3 linked regions of the Nothobranchius furzeri genome follow. Each later gene encodes a partner of the first gene's protein in a complex. Links are inferred from orthologs where the notes say so. Each region holds a gene or a part of one and is shown on either strand. Other genes may lie near its edges. The genes, in order: itgav, itgb6 and itgb8.

What was found.
Region 2: the proteins of itgav (region 1) and itgb6 are in contact, whole or in part, in a crystal structure (PDB 9CZA), measured with the Homo sapiens proteins. The link is inferred for Nothobranchius furzeri from reciprocal best matches to the Homo sapiens genes ITGAV and ITGB6. Residues at the interface, in NP_002201.2 of Homo sapiens: Tyr48, Phe51, Lys72, Trp123, Leu141, His143, Gln150, Glu151, Arg152, Pro154, Asp178, Ala179, Phe184, Gln186, Phe189, Pro204, Tyr208, Trp209, Asp249, Tyr251, Tyr254, Pro274, Arg275, Arg278, Thr279, Met302, Ala303, Tyr305, Phe308, Pro328; in NP_000879.2 of Homo sapiens: Ser183, Pro184, Phe185, Lys187, Thr188, Thr189, Pro190, Ile236, Asp237, Thr238, Pro239, Asp273, Ser274, His275, Phe276, Gly277, Met278, Asp279, Lys281, Leu282, Ala283, Gly284, Val286, Pro288, Glu308, Thr311, Ile312, Gly313, Gln314, Ile316.
Region 3: the proteins of itgav (region 1) and itgb8 are in contact, whole or in part, in a cryo-EM structure (PDB 8TCF), measured with the Homo sapiens proteins. The link is inferred for Nothobranchius furzeri from reciprocal best matches to the Homo sapiens genes ITGAV and ITGB8. Residues at the interface, in NP_002201.2 of Homo sapiens: Tyr48, Phe51, Trp123, Leu141, His143, Gln150, Glu151, Arg152, Pro154, Phe184, Gln186, Phe189, Pro204, Trp209, Asp249, Tyr251, Tyr254, Arg275, Arg278, Thr279, Gln301, Met302, Ala303, Tyr305, Phe308, Pro328, Leu329, Met331, Ser335, Asp336; in NP_002205.1 of Homo sapiens: Ser197, Pro198, Ile202, His203, Pro204, Arg206, Ile250, Asp251, Thr252, Pro253, Thr287, Ser288, His289, Leu290, Ala291, Leu292, Asp293, Lys295, Leu296, Gly298, Val300, Pro302, Glu321, Ser324, Leu325, Gly326, Gln327, Glu330, His349, Trp350.

What each region holds. Positions count from the first base shown.
Region 1 is NC_091754.1:34,944,663-34,948,498, forward strand, and holds part of itgav (integrin alpha-V), read left to right. Parts: intron 1-1,361; coding exon 1,362-1,405; intron 1,406-1,494; coding exon 1,495-1,551; intron 1,552-2,035; coding exon 2,036-2,088; intron 2,089-2,888; coding exon 2,889-2,964; intron 2,965-3,323; coding exon 3,324-3,453; intron 3,454-3,526; coding exon 3,527-3,624; intron 3,625-3,836.
Region 2 is NC_091749.1:40,628,115-40,632,618, reverse strand, and holds the start of itgb6 (integrin beta-6), read left to right. Parts: upstream 1-1,505; 5' UTR 1,506-1,736; intron 1,737-3,362; exon of another isoform or gene 3,363-3,565; 5' UTR 3,566-3,580; coding exon 3,581-3,635; intron 3,636-4,050; coding exon 4,051-4,130; intron 4,131-4,254; coding exon 4,255-4,453; intron 4,454-4,504. UniProt on the Homo sapiens protein: Integrin alpha-V:beta-6 (ITGAV:ITGB6) is a receptor for fibronectin and cytotactin. It recognizes the sequence R-G-D in its ligands. Internalization of integrin alpha-V/beta-6 via clathrin-mediated endocytosis promotes carcinoma cell invasion.
Region 3 is NC_091751.1:28,152,463-28,157,093, forward strand, and holds the start of itgb8 (integrin beta-8), read left to right. Parts: upstream 1-1,673; 5' UTR 1,674-1,815; coding exon 1,816-1,906; intron 1,907-2,777; coding exon 2,778-2,863; intron 2,864-4,631. UniProt on the Homo sapiens protein: Integrin alpha-V:beta-8 (ITGAV:ITGB8) is a receptor for fibronectin. It recognizes the sequence R-G-D in its ligands.

The sequences.
Region 1 (3,836 bases):
ACGCACACGCTTCTCTGCTTCATACCGTTTCGAACTGTCTCGCTTCTCCTCACCAGTTTTGAAGCGATTTCATCAAGAAATCCCATCCCTGTGGCGGCGGCATCTCCCTGCGTGCTTGTGTGTTTCTAGCGTGGTTCCACTTCGTCTTTAATAGTGAACTTATAGTTCACGTGACTATAACTAGAATCGTGCAGTATGTGCATGAATCGTACAAGTGCAGTACGTGGCTAGATGCGCGCAGGTTCACGGGCGCAAAACGAAAACGGCAGCTTCCTACAGGGCGCGGCCATGATGTAGGTGAAAGCCTGTGTAAATGACAAATAAGGCTTGGGCGCCACCTTGGCGGTAAGTTGTCAAGTATTTACCGCCCAACGAGAAAATTTAGCACCATTGGCGCTCGGGCGCTTTAAAGGTCCACCCCTGAATTAGCCGAGTCTTCTCCTGTTCTCTGTCCTCCGGGCCACACACACACACACACACACACACGCACGCACGCACGCACACACACACACACACACACACACACACACACACACAAGGGACAGTCTCAGCTGTTATTTTCGTTAAGGAGTGGGCATGTATAGCATGCGCGCCTCGTGCACGAGCCTACTATTGAAGCTGCCGTTACGCTTTTGGCCTGAGGGGGCAATCACGAGCATAAAAGTTCAAAACTCCGTAAAGTCCCTTTTTAACAGCCTCAGAAGAGCTTCGTCACATACCTTTTCTGTGTCGATGTCCCTGGGTGAAGCTGGTGTGAATGAGTTCTTCCCGCTGCCGTCTCCAGCGCCGAACCATGGATTCATTCCTTTACTCCCAGATCAATGGCCTTCAACTTAAATACAGCATCATATGAACTCATACGTGTAGTTTCCATGATGAGGGGATATGGATTTGAAAAAACTTCTTCGTCGTGCCGGCTGCTTGCATGTGCTAAATTAAAATGAGCACTTTCTTCGATTTCCACTTTTCACTTCCATCTGTTTCACTTTCTGCTAATGCGCCCCCTGGCAGGTGGAGGAAAATCTTCAGTAAAGCCGCACCTCATTATAAGCTGCATGGTTCAAAGCATGGGGAAAAAAGTAGCGGCTTATAGTCCGAAAATACGGTACATGTAATATTGTCCCAATCCTAGTTCCATTGAACGAGTCTCCATCTACTTCCCTTGTAACAATGTCACAGTTACTGGAGCCACTATGTTGTCTTAGCCAGAGTGTGTTTGCTCCTCGGGGGGTGGGACCTAATCATTTACTGCAGCCAGCCACCAGGGGGCAGTCGTTTAGTCCCTGTATCTGTAGTTAATGGCTGGGTTGTGGAAATACTGGTTGTGATTCATGCTGCGTCTCTTTTCCTGACGTTGACAGATTTTGTGACTGGAGTACCGAGAGGACAGCAGGCGTTGGGTTATGTAAGCGTTCACACTCGTCTCAGCGGTACGTCCTCCAGACTGGGATGGATGCAGAGGTGAAGTTAAGGCGATGCTTCTGTGTGTTTAAGGTGAACATCTTCAATGGGCTAAACATGGCGTCCATGATCAACTTCACTGGCTCTCAGGTGAGCTGCAGGACCCCCAACACACACCACACGTTCCTAGGAGACCTCAGCTAGAAAGCAACGAGGGCTGGCGGTGTCAGACGGTCGTTTTCAAATAAAATCACTTTTTTTCCAGTTGTTTTTTAAACAGCCACAGTTCTTTATTATTGTTTTAATTGCTTAGAAGAAATGCGAGGAGCCGTTTTAGTGGATCCAGAGGAGTGTGTGAACACAGAGAACTGTGGGGGAGGAGCAGAGTTAATGACAGAGTTCATCCTAAACAACTCCCCCTCTAAACCCAACAACCTCGCTGCTATCAGCTCCCTTTGAAGGTCCCAGCTCCACCTTTTCTTGCCTCTCTGCTCTAAATCACTGACACCCAAGTGGAAGTTGTTAGAATTTGGTGAATTCTGCCACTGGATGTGAAGAACAAATGTTTGAGCAGGACCTTTAGCAGGGTGTGTGCACGGCCTCTAAAGAGTCGTCTCTCCCACTTCTCTTGTAGATGGCAGCCTACTTTGGACATTCAGTGGCCGTCTCTGACGTTAATAACGATGGGTAAGTGACTGGTCTTCTCCTACTGCCTTTGTGAGGTTGTTTCCTGGCTGGGCTGTCACCTTCAGCTTCACCAAATGCAAGGTTCTGTCGTGTGACGGATCCAGCTGTCGAACCAAACACACTAAATGATTGTTTTTATTCCAGGTGTATCCGCGGGTCCCTGAAAAGTCTTAAATTAGTTTTTCCAAATTTATGGCCTTAAAAATCCTTAAAAATGACAAATAATCCTTAAATACAGTTTCCAAAGGTCTTACATTACCAAAGACCCAATAAACAAGATTCTTTTATTTCTATAAAATGTTTCGTGAATTTCTAGTTTAGTGTTCAGCGGTTTTTGTGTATGATATTGGCGGAACCGTACACATTCAGTTGGTTGTGAAAGGGGGCTATTTTTAGATGAGCACATTAGCTGGTTAAGCTAGTGGGAGCTTGCACCATGGGAAGGGCAAGTTTAATGGTAACTGGGTGGCTAATCCCACGTTCGCGTCGTGGTTAGCACCGTTTCCAGGCAATAGCTGGAAATTATAGCTTAAATTTAATTTTAAAAATAGCTTAAATTTGGTCAAAGTGGCCTTAAAAAAGGTCTTAAAAAGTCTTACATTTGGCTCCCTTAAACCTGCAGATACCCTGCATTCAGACCTAAAGAGAGTCTGCTTCTGATCACATTCTTCATCAGTTATTGCACGGATCAGTTGACTTAAACTCTGAGACAGGAAGAACATTTCCCACGAGTGTTGGACCTACAGAGTAAATATGCACGTCTCTGATTGGAGGACTGATTTGTAAGGGATGTGTTTCAGTCTGGTGGACCTGTTGGTCGGTGCTCCTCTCTTCATGGACAGAGGCTCAGATGGGAAGCTCAGGGAGGTGGGACAGGTAGGAGCAGCTCATACACAGCTGTCACCATTGCATAGAGGTGGTGAAGCTTCTCACTCATCCAGGTCATATCAATCCAAAAGGGTTTCGATGAAGGCAACTGGAATAATCTGGTTTCGTGAAGACGTCTGGCTTCTCATCGAGGAGGCATGAGGCTTATCCCATGCCAGGATTGTGAAGCTCCTCGGATGAGAAGTGAAACGTCTTTAAGAAATCATAGAAGCCCACTTGCCTTCATCTGAATCCTTTTGGATTAGAAGTGTTTAGTTACCTAGTCCTACTGTGCACATGCACAGTGGTGGTGGTCGCCATGGGGACGCCAGGCTGACGCCGTTTGCGTGTGTTCTCTTTCCCTCCAGGTGGCTGTGTATCTCAGTCGGGGGGGCTTCTCCTTTCAGCTACCCCAGTTCCTGACCGGCTCAGAGGTTTATGCCAGATATGGTTCTGCCATCGCTGCGCTGGGAGACCTGGACAAAGACGGATTCAACGGTAAACCTCATCACTGCACAGATCCACTTCTGTCTTCTGGTCCAAAACGCTTGACTCAGCTATTTCTGTCCAGATGTGGCCATCTCTGCTCCTTATGGAGGTCCTGACCACAACGGTTTGGTATACATCCACAATGGCCGCCCTAAGGGACCTGACTCATCACCCTCTCAGGTAAATGCTCAAAAGTCCTGTTAGCTAAAGCCTTTGTCATTGTTGAGAAATCCAGAGAAACAGTTAAAATGTTGATTTCACATCAGTTTCAGTGTTAGGATCAGACTCTGGGAAGATGTTTCCATGAAAGGGTTTGAAAGGAGCTCTGTGGTTTCCACGGAGGAGCAGAAAGTAAAGTAACCTGTACAAAACCACAACTTCATTCAGATCAG
Region 2 (4,504 bases), on another chromosome or scaffold:
AAATTTAATATTTTTGTGCTAAAATTCAGCATTTTTGAAGTGCTGGCTTGTGTTCAGCTTTTCTGAAGGTGAACATCTTTGTTGAAGATCTATAGGAGAGTTTTATGATGCATTTATGCTATAGGAGATTAGTTTTAGGAAATACATAGACTAATTTCATCTGCAAATATGTTGATGAAGCAATTAACACAGAGCCCATAATTTATTAATACTCTGATTTAACATTTTCTAAATGCACCTTATGTCATTTATTTTATACAGACTGATTCAAAGCTGAACAAAGTCATTCTGACTCTTAAGTGGATTCATTTAGTAGTTCAACACCTTTATCAGAATTAGAATAAAGTTTAAACCACTGTCATAAAGTACAGCAGACACATCCCTTCTTACTTTAAGTTCCTCTTATGCTATTGTCTGACAAACTTCCTCATGCACCAGCTCGGATGACAATCAGCTAACAAAAGCAGCGAGAAAAAGCTCACACACGTTTGTGTTCATTGAAATTGTTAAAGCACTTTCCACTTTGACCATGGTCATTTTTCTATGTTTTATCATGGTTACAAGTAAAACCTAAATGAAAAATGTAGTTAGGTTTGTTTTTCTTTAAATTCATAATTAGAATAAGTTTAATTCTCAAAATGGGCTGTCATTGTACTTAATCCCTTTCTTCCTTTTTCTGTTCTGATTTTTGGAGCCTCCAGCTGCTCGGGCCACCACTTTACTAGAATTGAAGTTAATGAACATTACTCCCTTTAAAAAGAGTATCTCAGGAGTTTTTTTATGGATCTAGATATTTAACCCTCTGGAGGCAGGTGTTGCAGATTTGCAACAGTTAAATCCTACCTACCTGGTTACCCCACATATGTATTTCATCAGCATATTTTAACTCAGAAGTAACTCAGAAGTGAAGGACTTAGTTGTTCATCCTTTTGTCAAAACTTATTTTGAGCCTGAGAGGATTAGAAAAATATTCTAATGGCATTGTGTCCAAACTCTGGCTTTAAGACTACCTAAACTTCTGTTTTGTATCGTGTGGAGCTGCTTTTATCATTTATTTTTCCTGCAAGGCTGTGTGTACACCTGCATTCTTGCCATACCGCTGTATGAAGGAGGCTGTATTACAGCGCTGGCCCTCCTCTCTGTCTCCTCCACATTTTCACTGCAGGAAGTAAATTGAACTTGAGCAAACAAACACACACACACACACACAATCCAGACTTATCACTGTTTTTACACAGAGCCAGGCATGTTGTGGTGCAGCTTGAAGAGTGAAACTCCAGAACATCAGGCACTAACAGAGAAGCCGGCTCCAGTGGAGAACTCAGCCTGCAGTTGTCACTGTCACTCATTATCACCCCACACTCCCTCAACACACACATAAGGGCAAGCTGGAGCTTGTACAAACACCCACACATGACCCTCACATGCATGCATGCACACCCACTCACCCACTTTCAAACACACACACACACACACACACACACACACACACACACACACACACACACACACACACACACACAAAGGCACACATGAGCCAGGGAGCATGGGCAGCAGGGTCACCCCAGCGCCATGCTTCATAAAGAGCGCTGTTACAATAGGTTTACTGTTACTCTGACGATAGCTGGGATACAATGAGACTAACGGTGCTGGCCTGATTTCTGTCCATTTTTTACTTGGCTGCGAGAGAGAAAGACTGAGACTGGACAGCATGTTATCAGCGGACAGCAATGGAGGTGAGTCAGTTGTGTTTAATAAATGTGGAGCATTTCAAAAGAGGACCTGACAGAAAGGTCTAATGAGACTGATTCTTTTTTTAAATTATAACAGGATCCCCCATGAAAGCTGCCATCTACACAATAATCTGCTGAAACCGTGAAATAGTTTTGTTGCGAGCTCACTAAACTGAATGGTGTCACATTCAAAAAGCCAAGGTGACATGGTGCAAATGTGTCACCTTATTGCACCTAAGCATCATCTGAAAAGATGAAAAGTTGCATGATTTGGAGTTTGGTTGCATCATGTTGAGTTTTTTATATATGTATGAGGAAAAGAGATGAGAAGAGATGTGAGAAGAGAGAGAGACACAGGAGTGAAGAGGAAGACTGACAGAAAGGTTAATGACAGGAAGTGAGTCAATGGAGGCGTGAATGAAACGGCCCGTTCACAGATGCAGAGATCAGGAGGGCTACTGGGAGAGGTGGGTCAAAATACAAAGGGTCTGCACAGAACATGGAGAGGGCGGAGGGGTGGGTGGATAACAGGAGGAGAGGTGGGGTTTGGATTGGGGTGACAGATGGGACTTACCCAGATTCAGAAGAGGCGTGGTGCTAAATTGTAAGATTCCTCCGAGTGGTATCTTTACTGCAGCTGTCAATGATTCAACACCTACACAGGGCCACACCCTTCTGTCCTCATGAACTCAACACACACACACACACACACACACACACACACACACACACACACACACACACACACACTCAGTGCAACACGTCGGATACTTATAGACATGAAAGGTTGTTTTTGTCAGTAGTCAAAAACTCATAAGATGGACCAACTGTGATTCATGCGTTAAATATTAACCTACTTGCTTTTAGTGTGTCTGCTTTAATAGTTGCACATGGTGGTGCTTGTCTGGGTTCTTTTATTATGTTTTAACAAAAGTACAATAAATACATGAAGACTGGAGGCTAAACAAAGATTAGTGCATCCATACACATTCACTTATACAGATTTAATTACATGAGAGTGTCTTCTTAGTGTTTTTACATGCAAAGACTCAGAAATCAGACATAATATGGACATTAAATAAACAAAAAAAAATGCTTTAATAAATTAGTTTTAAAGTTTAATTGTACAAATTTGGTGACCAATTAAATAGAAAATTTAGAGCTCAAAGTAGAAAATGACTACAGTGTTTTGTTCTTGATTACTAACAAGTTAGAATAAAAAACATCAATCATCAGCTAATTTTTTCAGTAGTGATCAGCTTATATTGTAATAAATACACAAATAGGATTACAAAACAAACGAAATTAACGAAATAAATAAATATCTGTTGCTATGATTTTTAACTATTTTGTATTTTTATAGCTTTATTTTATTTTATTAAAAGGCTTAAAATCAGCATTTCTTTTTCGTTCTATATTTTTTGCATCTTGGTAAGAAATTTAATCATTTTCACTCATGCAGGGGAAACACAATACTTGATGTGGTGTGATCTGTTGATGTGGTGATAAAAACACGACACGTGACAGCTGAACTTCTCTTGTACATTTATTAGAATTTTTGTTGTTGTTGTTTCTTTAGTTTTTAAACATTAAAGGTCTTGTAGAAAAGAAAAGGGGGAAAACTTGAAAAGGTGTGCGATCCGTCGCTCCCGCCTCCCTTTTCTCACCTGAACGGAAGTGGCCGCGCAGGTAAAGGCAGTTCCTCCTCTCCAGGTGCAGCGGAGCGGCAGCGCTCTCCTGGTCTGCTTTAATCTGAGACGGCATGGGTTGGTTTCACTCCTGTAAATATAGCCCCTGAGAATACCTGAAACACTCCTCTTCTGTTCATTCAGTAACCTCACGGACTCATGTGGTTTCTACTGCTGATCCCGGTTCTCCGGTGCTGGATCAACACCGTGGAGGGTAAGCGCGAAGCTCTGCTCGGTTTGAAAGGATAAAGGGAAGCAAGTTTGTCAGGTGCAAACAAAGTAGTACCAGGCTGGGATTTTAAAAGCTTCAATGTCAGGACAGCAACAATAGTCAGTTATTATTATGATTATGATTATTATTATGATTATGATTATTATTATTATTATTGTTGTTATTGTTATTGTTATTATTGTTATTATTATTATTATTATTATTATTATTATTATTATTATTATTATTATTATTATTGTTATTATTGTTGTTGTTGTTGTTGTTGTTAAATACCACAGCACTTTTTCCTGACAGTTAAGTTGCTTATATGTGCTAATAGATGAATAACTGCAGCTGCAGGCTTCACTCATTCAGATGATTTCTTGGCTCATTGTTGACTATGTGGTTTCTGCTACAGGATCATGTATAACCAGGAGCTCTGTGACCTGTGATGAGTGTCTGCAGCTCAGTCCTCACTGTGCCTGGTGCACACAGGAGGTAAAAAAAACATTCTTGCATGAATTAAATAAGCATAAAGACAAATGAATGTAATTTTTTGTGATTTCTTATTATAATCCTCAGTAATCTTAACGCCCTATGTTCTGTGACATTTCTCCACCAGAATTTTACAAACTGGTTTTCAGCGACAGAGCGATGTGACACGCTGGATAAGCTGCTGGAGAAAGGGTGTGCCCGTGAACGTCTCCTGTTCCCCATTTCTGAAGCCCAAATTATCCAAGACTGGCCACTTGGGAAGAAGACGACAAACACAAACAGCACTCAGATTTCCCCGCAAAAAATATCTGTCAAGCTTCGACCGGGTACACAGTCCAGATTATTTTTTAGTCATTCAGCTTCCTCCTGAGATGCGT
Region 3 (4,631 bases), on another chromosome or scaffold:
CAAAGATACATCTGATTATTTAAGATCTAATCCAAATATACAAAATGACACATATAGATGTTAAAATCTAAATAAAACATGCAGATTTGAAACCAAATGTTAAAGTCTGCTTCGTCACTGGAAGACGTGCCGGTGGGATTGAGGAGGTCTTTGAAGTACTCTGCTCACCGATCCATGTCCCGAGCTGAGTTCAGCAGCACACCGTCCCCGCTATAAACAGTGTTGGTAGGCACTGCTTTGTCCTCTTGAGGCACCGGGGGTTGGACCAGAATCTCCTTGAAGCCCTTGGGAAGTCTTGCTGCTCCCACATCTGGGTTTTTGCCTCTTTGACCACCCGGGCCACATTCCGCTACCATCAGCTGCCTTTGGAGTCCCACAGGCCCAACACATCCATTAGGGTTCTTTCTTAAGCTTGACGGCATCCCTATTTGTTGGTGTCAACCAGCTGGTTTGGGGATTGCCCCCACAACAGGCACCGGCGACCCTACAGCCACAGCTCCGATCGGCTGTTTTCAACTAACCTCCACACACTAGATGATGCTGTGGTGTTCATGTACTATGGTCAACCTTTAATATGTTAGAGTGATCTTGAATATTTTCTTTTTTAAATGATTATTTAGATTTATTTTGAGGTATTTTGGTTTTAGTTAAAGTTATGTATTTAATTTTATTCTAAATATTCAGGTTTAAGTTTAAATATTTATAAGCTGAAACTTAACGCAGGCCTATGTTTTTTATAATTTAGATTTAACACGTGTTTATATGTAATTCTTTATTTTTAGGTGTGACGGCAAATGTTTAAATCAACTTATTTTATTTGGGTTAAACTTGTTTTGGAGTTTCTCCTATACTTTTGATTGAATCTAAAAATTTTCAGTGTAACTATTTAAACTTTAAATGTTATACTTTTGTCCATCATTGAATCTAAATATGATACATTTTATGTACTTATTGTGATACTTTATAAACGGCGCCCCATAGCCTTTCTCTTCAGATGCGCAGTTGTTTAGAGTCTCTGGCTGCAGCTCAGCGGTGAGGAAAGATTACTCTCTCATTGAAATCGTTACACAATGGATCCCCCTTCCTCCCCCTCTGCAGCAGCAGCTTGTGAACCCCGCTACTGACCTCCGAGCACCCCCATCACCCATCCACCATCCAGCTTTGGGTTCCCACCCCAACAGAAGCCCTCGTGGTTCTCAGATGCAGCCTCATCCAAGGAAGCATTTCTGGAATGACCCGCATCTCTCTCTCTCTCTCTCTCTCTCTCTCTCTCTCTCTCTCTCTCTCTCTCTCTCTCTCTCTCTCTCTCTCTCTCTCTCTCTCTCTCTCTCTCTCTCTCTCTCTCTCTCTCTCTCTTTCTGTTTGTCCCTCCCTCTTCCACTCTACAGCAGGACTTAAACGCGTCGTTGCTATGGCATCCGCCTGCCTGAGTCTGTTCAATGGTTGAAACGCGCTCATTCTCCTGAACCTGGAGCGTCATGTGTTGGGTCAGTGTACCGGAGGAGCGTGTCGCCTGAACGCAGCTGCGCGAGACCTGGGAGAGGGTGGGGGGTGGCACACCTGAAAACAGATGGAGGGACGGTGTGAAACAGTCTAACTACGGCTTCACCTTGTCAACCGGGCAGCGCGCTTTGCTAAACTCCTCTGACCCGGTGATGTGAAGAGGTAACCGGGGTTAGAGAGACGTCTCTCTCTGCTTTATTTCTCTTTAAGTGAAGGACAATGTCGACGCGACAGTCCCGGCTTTTGTTCGTGCGGCCGTGGGCGCACGGATCTGAGTTTGATCCGGTTCCTTCTCCTTGAATCGTGGACAGGATGACGTGCTGGCCGCCCCGCAGCGACCCTCGTCTGTGCGTCCTGCTCTGCTGCGCGGTGCTCGCAGTCTGCGCTGCAGCGTCCAGTACCGGTGAGTGGGTCAAGGCTCATTAGGGACCAATTACATAACAACCCACAATAACTATATGGGCTGTTATGTATAATGTTATAGCTGTTATCAATAATTCCAGCGTTTGTACCTGCATGTGATGGATGAAAAAGGTGCGTTTATAATTTGGCATATGATGCACCAAATTATAATCAGCAGATTATAATCAGTAGGAAAGATGCCCCAGATCAGGTCTGGATGGTGAAACCTACGTTTCAAACCCCCAAATTGAACTCTGATCAATTATCAACCTGAATCAACCTGATCTGCTAAAGTCTGCAGGAACATCTCCGACCATCAGCAAACCAAGCTCTCCTCTAACCGCCGTATTGCATTAAAACCTCCACCCATCACCTATCTGATGGGTTACTAGAGGTCAGAGTGCTAATTGGGTCAGAGCTGCCTGATAATGGGTCTGTTAATGAGGCTCAGACCTGCATGCTTTCTCTGGCCTACATTCCAGCTCCATAAATCACCGAGAGTACTCTGGAAAATTGGATTTAGCAGATAAATTACTTCAGTAAATCATTAATCCAACTACAGGAAGCCCAAGGTGCACATTAGACCCTTTCTCACATCCTTGGTGTGTGTGTTTTTAAAAGTTTCAGTTTAAATAAAAGTTTGAGGTACTCCACGCATCCATTCCAACATTTCAAGCACCTGTTCCCACACTCACCAGTATGTGCTGGATGTGACCTATGAGATTCTGAGCGGTGCTTCCATCATCGAGGGGTAAACCAGATTTAAACGTCATCAGAAGCTGCACCGCATGGCTAATGCATGTTGACACACACACTCGTTCATATGCTAATCAGACACTCTTTTTTATCCTTTTTTCTGTGATTGTTGTTAGGAGCTGGTGTGTGTCAGTCGCCCGGTGTTGCCTCATGCACAGACTGCCTCTGCCGTGGACCTCAGTGCGCCTGGTGCTTCCAGAAGGTGTGTGTGTGTGTGTGTGTGTGTGTGTGTGTGTGTGTGTGTGAGCCAGGCAAAAGGGAAATAAAGCAAACAGTAGGAACGTGGCAGACTCAAGTGCATTCCTCAGATGACACGCACCAATGCTTTCATGGCATTCGCAAACAAGGATCGAATGTGTATGTTTGGGCTGAGTGGTGTGCATTATGTGATCTGTGTGTGTGAAAACGTCGGTGTGTGTTTTCTCAGATGAAGACACTTTCTGTCTTTGTGTTTAGTCTCTCCGTCTTTCTGCATCAGCCCGTGTGTTTGTCTTTATCTGTCTTGCATGTCTTGCTGTCCTGTGAAGAGCCCACCCTGATTTGGCCTTGAGAAGCTTCGGTCTATCAGTGCCACACCACACACACACACACACACACACACACACACACACACACACACACACACCACACACACACACACACACACACACACACACACACACACACACACAGAGAGAGAGTGACATCACACTGATTGAAAGTGTTTTTTAGACTTCAGGTGCTTTCCCACCCTGTTGAACCCTAAACTTCTCTGACATCATCTTTGGGTTGGGTCTACGTGTGTGTGTGTGTGTGTGTATGTGTATGTGTGTGTGTGAGGGCCTTCAAACATCACCCTTGTAACCTCTACACACACACGTCCACGCCTGAACGAGCTCTGAAAACACATCTGTAACTGTATTCATGTAAACATGTGCCCACGTGAGACGCTGAACTCCCAGGTCTTGTGAAGGAAAGTCCCGGGAAGTAGCCAGTCTTAAACTTTTTGGTGTTAAATGTTAGGCCAGTTGTTTTTGTGAGGATATCAAAGAGTATACAGAGTCTGGTTTTCAGGCTCAGCTCAGCGTCAGTCATGGTTGTGGAGTGCATGACGCCTGTGTGGTTTTTGTGCCCGAGTTCTGTAGAAAATGACTAATGAGGTTTAAGTTTGTTGTGCTTCCTGGGTGGTGACAAAAAGTGTTTCTGAATATCAGTCCTGAAACTGAGCTGGAAAGCTGGGTAACCAATAAAACACACACACATATAGTCATACACACACACACAGACCCAGCGAACATGCCCGTTTGGGCCCACCATGAGCTTCTGTGGGCAGGACAAACCCACACTTACCCTAGAGTTCACCCACAAGGATCTTGTGTATGTTTGCATGAATGGGGCCCATATTTGTTTTCCTACGTGAGCCCCCTTTAGATGTAGTCAAGGGTTAGGGTAGGGTTAGATTTAGTTAAGTGCAACCCACAGGTGCATCAGCCCAAATCCATCCCTTGTGGGGTGCCCTGGATCAGCCCAGTAGATACCTGTGATTATTTCTGTGGGCACCCCACATTGGGATCTGCCCTAAAACTACCCACAGTGGCCCCGTGAGTGTTAGCCCATGTGGGGAATTCAGGGGAATCAACAGATCTTTAAGAAAACAGAAATGTAACTTACATGACACAAGTTCTCTAAATAAGGTTTTAGAGCTATTGTAATATTTGGTGTTTGTAATGGTGGGGCAGCGGCAGCTCAGGTAAGAGAAAACGCTTTGGGTCGGATGAAAACTGCTACGTAAATGATGGAAAGCCCAGCCATGCCAGGGTTCCACCGAGAAATGAGGCGCACACGAGGGCCCCACAGCAAAGGGCCACAGTGGGGCCATAGCGGGAAGCCCACATGTGTGGGCCGTGCTCTGTTGGGCCCCTACATGGCCCCAAATAATTGTACCCGCATATGCCCTACATTTCACGATGGCTGTGGGTCCCACTGTTGGC